Caenorhabditis elegans: one gene and its partners. The protein of the gene in region 3 interacts with the protein of the main gene of each other region in a pairwise test. Each region holds a gene or a part of one and is shown on either strand. Other genes may lie near its edges. The genes, in order: chw-1, hipr-1 and pak-1.

Region 1 (3,756 bases), on a different chromosome or scaffold from region 3:
AAAAGTGAAAAACAGGTTCTCAGGAAATCAGAAATAATTCTCGATGAATGGACAGTTGAAAATTCATCTCACACTCTCCTCCGTTATTATCTGTTATCAGCAAGCAGATTCCTTTTGCCAATTTTTCCATTCCTTTCGATGATTTCTTCATTGACCATATATCTTTTTTGATTGCCTCTTCTACACATTCCCAATTTTGTTTATTCTGACAAGGTCGAATCATGGTTTTTGTATTACGGACGGATGTATATATGAAGATACTGATATCTCTTTTATACGTAAAAGTATACATACCTTTGTTCTTTTCTTCTTATTTTCAATGTATGAATGAACATTTGGTATTTGAATGTTAACTACCAACTGATCAGAGACCTTCTCGATCATTGTTTTCTTTCCGTTTTTTGGGTTCTCTTAGGTGGAGACGTCCAAAAAATTTGATACAATTAGAACATTTTGGGATTTTATAGAACTTATTTTACCAGACAACACCTTTTTTATCGCGAAAATTAATCTCAGTTTTTCCTTTTTGAAACATTATATTAAATTTATCGTTTTCATGTTTGTTAGCGTAGCATGATATTTCAATGTTTGAAAACATTGTCCACACTTCTAAAACTCCTAATCATTTTAAGAAAATTTCTAAATTTTAATAATAATTACTAACTTTGATAATTGACAAATAACTAAAAAGTGGTTTGGTTCTCCATTTGTCTCTCTGTCAAAACAACAAAAAAAAAACTGAAACTTACAAGCCGTATTATCAAATCTCTGTGGTAATTCAAACTAAAACGTTTTGGCATAAACATTTTTTCTAAAATTGTATGCTAACTAGGACCTATCCCTGGATCAGGTTTCTTTTCTCCCGTCACCAATTATCAAACATTATCTACATCCATTAATCGACGCAATTATCGATCAGGGCGATAGACGGATTTGGTCATTTCTTCATGACTTTTTATTCTTCTCATCATGACTTCTATTCATCAAAAAAAAAAGATTTCTAAATGTTCACACATTTGCTATGAAAACAGTTGACGTTGTAACCCTGTAGTAGACCAGTTCATTCCTTCTCTTGCTTCCTTCTTTACCATTTTAGTTCACTCGCCGCTTTTACCATTTTACTATTATTGTTATTACTAATACTATAATATCATAGAGGTCATTTGTATTCGTTGCGTTCCCCGCTTCCCGAAAACCAATAAAACTTACGAGAATAATGACCGTATCTATTAGTTCTTGCATCTCAGCTACTCAGTACCAAGTTACCATCCAGATGACCCCGTAAATTTAAAAGTCAAAAGAAAACCCATGATTGTAAAATCATGAAAATCATTGGAAAAGAAGCAGTGAATCATTGAATCTTTGTCGCCACGTAATCACATTTTCTTGGTAATGGATCTTTCCCATTATTTGTCAGTTATGTTAATGTTCTACCCGTTTCTTATCCAGTCTTTCGATACTTCTCCCTTTCTACTTTTTCCCCTTTTTTCTCGCATCATTTACCTCATTTACAGTCTATCACACTTCTCCTCAACCCCCTAAAGTAAATAATTCACAGATGGCAAAAGAAGAAGATGAGAAATGTCTCAAATGCATTTTTGTTGGAAATGCGGCAGTTGGAAAAACTTCGATGATAGTTAGCTACACGACAAATGTTTATCCACACAACTACGTGCCAACGGCATTTGATAATTTCTCAGTTGTTGTTCTAGTTGACAAGAAACCAATACGTCTACAGCTTCATGACACCGCTGGACAGGTTAGTGACTCACTTATATTTTGGGTGATTCTAGCAACTGGTCCAACTGATTTCATTGGCGCAATTGCGGTTTCCATTAAAAGTTGCCGAATTGATGTTATGTTTTCTGGAATTAAAAAATGTTAGCATAAAATATTAATTTATTTTTCAAAAGATATTTTGAACTACTTATGCACTGGTTCCATATTTTGGTATTTTTTAGTCTCGCATAAAATCCTTCAATTTTAGATTGCCGGTTTTGTATTTGTAATTTAATAAAATCGAAACAAACATAGGTATTTATAAATTATCACCACCCCAAAGTACAACTTTTACAGTTCAATCTCAGTTTTCATTTGTTCTATTTGAACATTGTCAACAGGCAAAACATTTTTTAATTATTTTTATATCATTGTGCAATTAGGTATATATTTATATCATTATCAAAATAAACCGCGATACCACTCTTCAAAGTGAGATAGTAGGGGTGCCATAATATTACAGAAAATACTGTAAATATTTAGTTTGGCAAAAACTACAAACTAAGATTCTAACTAAAAATTTGAACGACAAGCTATGTATATCGGAAAATTCAAGTTTAAAAGTTAAAGCTCAATTTTGTAAAGTTTACAACTGAGAAACTACTCACCCAGGTTTTTGAAATTATACGGAAGTGATTGCACAGTTGTTGTTCTGATAGGAACTGAACTTGAAGTTGCTCTGATTCTTTGAATACTTGGTGGTAATTTACGAATATTTGGTTGATTGAACCTCCTCACTGGATACCTACAACTTCTAATGTTACACATTGACCAATACAATACAAGTTAACCTTTGGAAACCAAAAGAAAATCCAATGAAACATATTATCAAAGTTGAGACTAAGATTCCAGAAGGATACATTGAGAACAAGTGAGCTATTCAAAATGAGATGCCCATTCGGATATGCGGCTTCGTTTTATGGTAGACAAGAAATTTAAAAACAAATAATGTCTCTGCCGAGGTGACAGGGTCGGATGTCAAATCGAAAATAGAGAAATGCACAATGGCGGATACAAATACCGGATGAGTTTCGGACCGGCGCGCGCAATCCGGAAACAATAGAATAACGGCATTTCAAAGGGATTGAGCATTCGAGAACAGAATTTAGTTTAAAACGAAGATGTATGGCATGCTATATTAACTTTTTGAGTTTTCACACTCATTAAAAGATCTCTTATGGGATTTTTGCCCCATTTCTGTACGAGGAAAAGTTCAGAAAAAATTTATTGCACAAATATTACTAATATGAATGAGTAAAATAGATTACAAACATCCCAGAACTGATAAACCACCTTTTCAAAAATAATATACAAATTTACACTTTGATCTTAAATTTAATTAAATTCCAAATTCTTTTTCAGTCCTCATTTGACACTCTTCGCCCGTTGTGCTACACAGATGCTGACGTCTTTGTCATTGTTTATTCAGTTGTTGATTTACAATCATTTGAAGATGTGTCACATCACTGGTATCCGGAAGTCACCAAGAGAAATCCGGGGACAAAATGTATGTATACAAATTTTTGGACACAGTCCATTTTAATAAAATTTTCAGTAATTCTGGTGGGAACTCAAGCTGATCAGAGATGGCAAGTACGTGGGAATACTGTCACGCAGTTACGCGGAAAAGCTTTAGCAGACAGACTCGGAGCTGAATTTTTTGAATGTTCAGCACTGACACAACACAATTTAAAACAGGTTGGTTGATTTCTTAGAACTTCGCAAAGATATTTGAATTCACGAAAAATTTTCAATCCAAACAACATTTCTGTGTTTTATCTCCTGATTTTGCATGAATAAAATACTTCGGTATAATTAAACACTGAAAATAAATGAATTGATTCCAGATGTTTGACGCAGCAATTTTGGCCGGTCTCGAGGGAAAGAAGAATCGAGAGAAACGATCGAATTTTTACACAAAGTCATCGAAAATTAAGGAACGCGTGGCAAGATTCATCACACGTACTCGCAACCTCA
Region 2 (3,756 bases), on a different chromosome or scaffold from region 3:
CATATTTTTCCAGAATTTAATACAGATTAATATTTTCGAAAAATTTAAACATTTTCTTTTCACATTTTAATTCATCTCTATTCATTATGCAATACTCTTTTGGTTTTCAAGCATCCGACATTCCTCCGTTTCATTTATGTTTGCATTTCTGCTGGCATGAATGCATTTCATTGTGTCTCGATGAGAAAAAGGACAATTTCATGAGCTTATCAGTTACTTCGTTTTCAAAATTTTAATGTTGACCAGCCATTGATGTCATATTTTGTCTAAGAAGCTCAAGAACTATTATTTTTTGAAGCTTAATTTCGAAGAGCAACATTTTTTTTCATTAAAATTCAGCAGTCATTGTTCTTTAAAAAGTTTTGATTCTCGTTTTTAAACGATTTTTAATTCAGTCGAGAATTGAATAACTTCCCGATTTCCCGGCCACCATCGTTTAATACCTTTTCTTTATGAGACTAACTTCCAAGTATGCAAATTGCAAATCGACGCAAGGGGAATACACTCGCTCACTTCTCATCGAAATTCGAAACCTTTTCCCATTTTCTTTCATGTCTTTTTCGCTTTTCTCCTCTCTGCCCATTTCCATTTATTTCTCAAACACCGTTCAGTGAACACGAAAACCCTTACGGAAATTGTGTTGTAAGAATACAAAAACTTCCGTAGCATAGCGAGAAAGAGTCACCATTTTGTAGTGTTTGCCCCCGGTGGTATAGTTTGCACAAGTTTCTGAAAGAAGAAGAAGACACATTTGAGGTCTTATGCACATAAAAATCAATGTTAGACTATCTTTTTCACGTAGTTTTCTTTTGCAAAGTGGAAACTTCTCATTAAACACTTTTTGCTTTTCAATTGTCTGAACAAGTTTTCGATTAAACAGCTGTAAAGCTTTTGCAAGTTTCATGGTTTATGAACTATTTCGAATCGGTTACATTGCTGAAGTTTTAGTGTTTCTTGAATATGTCGTCACTACCAGGACTGGACCAAAAATCAAAAAGAATTTAAAGTGAAATACCAAAAAAAAAATCGTCGATTTGCGATTTTTGAAGGACTGTAAGTGACTTTTTTGGCTTCATTTAGGTCCCAAAAAACCTTTTTTTTCTCAAAAAATGTGACTCAAAATACCAAAAAAGTCTTAACCTGATCACTTCGCCTTCTCAACTCAAGCCATTTTTGCTGTTTAGTTCGAATATGGAACAAATCATAAGAATCTTGAGTACCTATATGCGATACCCGATTCATTTTCCTCTCTTCTAAATAACATCATTTCCTCTCTTTTTCCCTCTCTCTCTCTCTCTGTTTTTGTTTGTGACTCACTTTGTCCACAACGCGCGCGGAACCGGCTTGTTGCCACACACACACTGTGATGAAATATGCGGGAGGAAAGCTTTTCGCCTAATAGTTGACTTACTTTTCATCTATATTCCTCAATTTTGCAACTAATAGATTGATTTGTCATGGTTTTGATTTCAGGGTTTTGAATATTCTTTGAAATTGGAATTTTTAACAAAAATGCAAATTATGTGCCAAGTCATATCTCCTCCTCACACTTTTTCTATCACATGCCCCCAAAAAAATTAATTTTTTTCAGGAATGGATCATCGTGCTCAAGCGCGCGAGGTATTCGTTCGAGCTCAACTGGAGGCTGTTCAGAAAGCGATCACGAAAAATGAGGTTCCATTGAAACCAAAACATGCGAGAACCATAATAGTAGGAACACACAAGGAGAAATCATCTGGAATCTTCTGGCATACTGTAGGACGGATTCAGTTGGAGAAACATCCTGTACTCACTTGGAAGTTCTGTCATTTGGTGCACAAATTGCTTCGAGATGGACATCGAAAGGTTCCTGAAGAGACTTACAGGTGGGGTTTCTTTGAAGGAGTGATAATCTTAAATTCAATATTTTTCAGATATGTTAATCGATTCACTCAACTTTCTCAATTCTGGAAACATTTGAATACAAGTGGATATGGTCCATGCATTGAGTCATACTGTAAATTACTTCACGATCGAGTCACTTTTCACAACAAATATCCAGTTGTTCCGGGGAAGTTGGATTTGAATGATTCACAACTGAAAACATTAGAAGGAGATTTAGACAATATGTTTGAGATGACAATTGATATGTTGGATCAGATGGATGCACTTCTTGTATTGCAGGATAGAGGTTTGTAATGATTTTTTCAAGTCTGGAAAATTATTGAATTATTAATTTTCTATTTTTCAGTGTATGAAATGATGAATTCCCTACGCTGGAATTCTCTAATTCCACAAGGACAATGTATGCTTTCTCCACTGATTATTGCAATTCTGGATACCAGTAAATTCTACGATTATCTCGTTAAAATGATCTTCAAACTTCATAGTCAAGTTCCTCCAGATGCATTAGAAGGTCATCGTTCCAGATTCCGAACAATTTTCGAGAGAACTAAGAAGTTTTACGAAGAATCATCGAATCTTCAGTATTTCAAATATCTTGTTTCAATTCCAACATTGCCATCTCATGCACCGAACTTCCTTCAACAATCCGATCTTGAATCTTATCGAACACCTCATGCATATCTTCATTCGGAAGGTTCAGAAGATGGAACTTCTCTCAACGGACATGACGGGGAATTATTGAATTTAGCTGAAGCAGAGCCACAACAAGCGAGTCCATCGAGTCAGCCAGATCCTAGAGAAGAACAAATTGTTATGTTGAGTCGTGCTGTTGAAGATGAAAAATTTGCGAAGGAACGACTCATTCAAGAAGTAAGAGTTGATTATTAAAATATAGTTTTTTTTTAAAACTATCATAAAAATAAACAAAATACAACATTTTTTACTATTTTCCAGGCGCGCAGCCGCATCGAACAATATGAGAACCGTTTATTGCAAATGCAAGGAGAATTTGATCACGCAAAACGAGAAGCTGATGAGAATCGAGAGGAGGCACAGAGACTGAAGAGTTCGTTTTTTTTTTTGGAGAATGATATTTTTCTCAAAATTAGTTGGAAGTCAGATTATTATTAATTAGATATATTTTCAGACGAGCTTGCACTTCGTGATGCATCAAGAACTCAGACAGACGATGCACGTGTAAAAGAAGCAGAATTGAAAGCAACGGCAGCTGAGGAAAGATTTAATAAAATGAAAGGAGTTTACGAAAAGTTCCGAAGTGAACACGTTTTAGCGCTCACAAAATTAGGAGATATTCAAAAACAACTAGAAGCTAGTGAAAAATCGAAATTCGATAAGGACGAAGAGATTACTGCTTTGAATCGAAAAGTAGAAGAAGCTCAACGAGAAGCTGGAAGAGCTTTGACAAAGGCGGAGGGTGATGCTGGAGCAGTTGATGAGATGAGAACTCAATTGGTTAAGGCTGATATTGAAGTTGAGGAGCTGAAAAGGGTAAGATTTGAATTTTTTAAAGTTTTATATACATTCAAAATTCGGAAACTCCTAGACTTTTTTTATAATTAAATTTATCATAATAAATTCACAAATTTTTAAAATTGAAATTCTCACTTTGAGAGAAAGGGTGTCATCGAAAAAATAAACATTCCCGAAAATCAAAAAATCGAAGAAAACATTTTTTTTTTCATTCGAATTTCGTTTATTTTGATGAGAAAAACATAAGAAAATATATATTTTTTTCTTAAAAAAAAACAAAAATGGTTTAAAAAATTGAATGCTGTTTTTTTGTTGAAAAATTAGAAAATCTGAAAAAAAAAACAAAAATTTCCGATTTTCTGGAAAATCGATATATCGAAA
Region 3 (3,756 bases):
CTATCTCTCTTACTCACATCTCTTACTCCCTCTTCACCCCTTCCTGTCGTGTATATGTGTGTGTGCGTATGTCTGGTTGTGTGTGTTCTTCTTCATTTGACCGCTATCGATTGATTTTATCTCCAACGACATCCTCCCCTCATCCGTCCGTTTTGCCCCTCCGCAGCTCTTTATCAATTGCCTTGGCCGCATCATCCGCGACCCACCGTACTAGTTATCTTTCTCTGTTTCCTCCATTCAATTGATAACACTAGAAAATGGCGCGCGTTCAACAAACACAGTGCCATTCTCCATTTCTAGCAAACAGTCCAGGTTTCGAACTGTTTTTTTTCTACATTGTGCAAAATGAGATTGGATTTCTTATCGACAGTGTAATAAAATCTTAGATACCTAGATTTTGTTTCTCATTTTTCTTTTTTTTTTTTCTTTCGGTTTTGTGATTTTCCTTTGGGTTTTTGCAGGTCTAGATTGTAAATATTCCCAAATTAACAGATTATGTAATGAGGATTCTCAAAAAATGTTCAACAATTTTTTATGGCGGTCTGAAATTTTAAAAACACCTAATTTTAATTAAAATTGGCTATTTTTTCATGTCTCAGCTGTTGGAAAATTTATTTTGAAGATTAGAATGTTTTTATTGCATATTGGTGATTTTCTTACATTATTTTGTTAATGAATGTACATTTAAAGCCCATACGTAATTGAAAATGGCCACAATCAACCCCCTATGATTTTTATGAGGTCTCATTATTAAATTTGTTCCTTTATGAACATTTTGAGTGCTTACAAGTAAAAACCCAAAACCGATACCCCTCCTTTAATCGAGAATAGTATTAGACCAAAAGTATCATCATTCACCGTTAGTATGAATGCAAACTTTTCAGCTTTTTTTCGGCTTTCACTTTCTAATTTCCTAAACTAGTTCTCAACATTGTCACTCACTCCGAACCTCGTTTCACAGTTTCTACTCTTTTCGGCTTCACACTTCTAGAACATTATCCGGCTGATTGCCACTTGGATGACAAGCGGGAAACAAGTACGCGAACACACGGTGGTGGGCGATAAAATGAAGTGAAACATGAATGACTCATATCATCACACTTTAAAAAAGATTCCCGTCTCTTCTTTTTCTCCTTTGAAAAATATTCCTTCTTCTTCCTCTGGCCCAGTTTATTCACCATCCATCATCTCCTAAACTTTGAAATCTTTCGTTTTGAAAACCAAAAAGCCATCTATCTTTTTCGGGTCAAACTCACGTCAGACGTTGGTTGCAGATAGGCTCTTTGAAGCAATAATGCAAATGAGAACTCCGAAGAAAAGGTCAAATTCTGGGTCCCACATTTTCCATAACTCCTACCCTGAGATTACTAAAAAAATATAGAAAAGCAATCCAATAGACGACCTCGAAAGGCGAAAGGGCCATGCTTTTTCGGTCCAAGATTACTCATAGCACTGGGTCAATGTCCTCTTTACACCATGTGTTGTGCATCCATTTCCCTGCCCGCTCCTATCAATTTCCTCTTTTGTTAGTCATAGTCCAACAATTTTTTTATAAGGGGGCGGTCAGCAATTTGTTCTTTCTTTTTCTGATTCTTTATTGTGATCGTTTTTCTATGTTTTTTTGACTCAACAAAACATGAATATTGGTTCCAATTTTCCTATTTTTCCAACAGTTTCGATTTCACTTGACAACGAAAATTCCTCCTAATTATTGTTTTCCTTTTTCAGTTTTACATTGCATACTGTATTCCTTCATTCTTTTTTGGTTTGATGCTTGTGTCTTCTTTTTCCAACAGTTTCAATTTTCCAGGCTTGCCAAAATGAAAGCTTTCTCATCGTATGATGAGAAACCACCAGCACCACCAATTCGTTTCAGCAGCTCGGCAACGAGGGAGAATCAGGTAATTAACTCGTCCCTCCACTCCTCCCCAAAGATGGGCGACAATCTTTCGAAGGTTCTTCTTCCAAATCAGATGATGCATGTGTTGCTTGCCCCTCTCCCACCCATCTCTATTTCTCTTTTTTCCATTCTCCATGTCTTGACTAACTCAATTTTTCAGGTCGTCGGATTGAAGCCATTGCCCAAAGAGCCAGAAGCAACCAAGAAAAAGAAGACGATGCCTAACCCGTTCATGAAAAGTAATATATTGCTCTTGTAACCATTCCTGATTTTCCTGTTTTTTTCAGAGAACAAAGACAAAAAGGAAGCGTCAGAAAAACCAGTGATCTCTCGACCGAGCAATTTCGAACACACAATTCATGTCGGATATGACCCAAAAACCGGCGAATTTACGGTCAGTATTTTTTCAAAAAGTTTTTGTAGCAGTTTTCCCACTCTTGCGTTACTTGCAAGATTATTTTCCAATGATGAACGAGTGATACAGCTGTCATTCTGACACCGGTCGCAACCGCTAATCGTACCAGATTAACGTGAATGCTAATAGTAAGCTAAAAACTAAAAACTACTACTTTTACTTTTTCCCTCAGTCAAAAAATCATTATAAACAAATCTCAATTTATAATAATATTTTGCAACCGTTAATTCAGTGCATTATCTTCTAAAAACGTGTTATTCTTGAAACCATGGTTAGTGTTAATAAAGCTTGCGTTTTTGAGACGTTTTAAGAAAACAAATCCATACGAGAAAAATTTAAGTGAAGCCAATTATCACGAACATGTATTCAACCAAAGATAGTTTCTTCTAAAGACCTATGAAATTGTCCCAATTTTTTTAGTATGAAGAGGTCTGTTTTGTCGAATAGACTTGAGAAACTACTGTAGAATCTTATTTATAAACTTTTCTCAGAAACTTTTGCTCCTTATCAACAATATAAATTTTCAGGGAATGCCTGAAGCATGGGCACGTCTTCTCACAGACTCACAGATCTCAAAACAAGAGCAGCAACAGAATCCTCAGGCAGTGTTGGACGCGCTCAAATACTACACACAAGGCGAAAGCAGCGGCCAGAAGTGGTTGCAGTACGATATGAGTAAGTAACCCGTAGTCAGTCTTGCTAATGGAGCTCATTCTTCTACAGTGTTTATAGATGACGCACCTTCTCGGACGCCATCATACGGACTGAAACCGCAACCATATAGCACATCATCCCTGCCGTATCATGGCAATAAAATTCAGGATCCAAGAAAGATGAATCCAATGACAACCAGTACAAGTAGTGCGGGGTATAACAGCAAGCAAGGAGTTCCTCCGACGACGTTTAGTGTAAATGAGAATAGATCGAGTATGCCACCGGTAAGTGGGAAGAATAATCTTGAAGTTCATATTGATTGCTTCAGAGTTATGCACCGCCACCGGTCCCCCATGGTGAAACTCCTGCTGATATTGTTCCTCCCGCTATCCCTGATAGGCCGGCAAGGACGTTGAGTATTGTGAGTAGAATTTTTGGTACTTGTGTATTACATGCCCTTAGTTTTAGAGTATTTTTTTAAGTTAAAAACAATAAAAACGTGTACCACATTTTTTATTTCTAGGTTTAGGAAATAATCTTTCTAAGCCTGGAGAGGAAAAATGTATATCACGTTTAAATTATATGGAGAAATGAATGAAAATTTAATTCAATTTCAAAATGAGGGCATGTAATACACAAGTACCGAATTTTTCCCAAGTTCTCTATAACATATAAGTATATTTTCAGTACACAAAACCGAAAGAGGAGGAAGAAAAAATTCCAGACCTTTCAAAAGGACAATTTGGTGTACAGGCCAGAGGTCAAAAAGCTAAGAAAAAGATGACTG

The links.
Region 1: the proteins of pak-1 (region 3) and chw-1 interact in a two-hybrid assay, tested with the Caenorhabditis elegans proteins (one large-scale study listed by BioGRID).
Region 2: the proteins of pak-1 (region 3) and hipr-1 interact in a two-hybrid assay, tested with the Caenorhabditis elegans proteins (one large-scale study listed by BioGRID).

The regions. Positions count from the first base shown.
Region 1 is NC_003283.11:10,460,724-10,464,479, forward strand, and holds the start of chw-1 (CHp/Wrch Rho-like protein homolog), read left to right. Parts: upstream 1-1,558; coding exon 1,559-1,759; intron 1,760-1,772; coding exon of another isoform or gene 1,773-1,865; intron 1,866-2,387; coding exon of another isoform or gene 2,388-2,524; intron 2,525-2,570; coding exon of another isoform or gene 2,571-2,641; exon of another isoform or gene 2,642-2,653; intron 2,654-2,668; exon of another isoform or gene 2,669-2,823; intron 2,824-3,141; coding exon 3,142-3,286; intron 3,287-3,334; coding exon 3,335-3,477; intron 3,478-3,626; coding exon 3,627-3,756. Other genes in the region: F22E12.3 (ShKT domain-containing protein), read right to left, coding at 1,773-1,865, 2,388-2,524, 2,571-2,641.
Region 2 is NC_003281.10:8,718,611-8,722,366, forward strand, and holds the start of hipr-1 (Huntington interacting protein related 1), read left to right. Parts: upstream 1-1,591; 5' UTR 1,592-1,593; coding exon 1,594-1,865; intron 1,866-1,913; coding exon 1,914-2,170; intron 2,171-2,230; coding exon 2,231-2,754; intron 2,755-2,838; coding exon 2,839-2,950; intron 2,951-3,031; coding exon 3,032-3,393; intron 3,394-3,756. UniProt on the Caenorhabditis elegans protein: Regulates pre-synaptic vesicle recycling at neuromuscular junctions of mechanosensory neurons. Plays a role in maintaining a normal defecation cycle.
Region 3 is NC_003284.9:6,046,663-6,050,418, reverse strand, and holds the start of pak-1 (Serine/threonine-protein kinase pak-1), read left to right. Parts: upstream 1-1,814; 5' UTR 1,815-1,820; coding exon 1,821-1,901; intron 1,902-2,060; coding exon 2,061-2,139; intron 2,140-2,187; coding exon 2,188-2,294; intron 2,295-2,842; coding exon 2,843-2,990; intron 2,991-3,038; coding exon 3,039-3,253; intron 3,254-3,297; coding exon 3,298-3,390; exon of another isoform or gene 3,391-3,539; intron 3,540-3,656; coding exon 3,657-3,756. UniProt on the Caenorhabditis elegans protein: Required for hypodermal cell fusion, together with cdc-42 and ced-10, leading to embryonic body elongation, which involves dramatic cytoskeletal reorganization.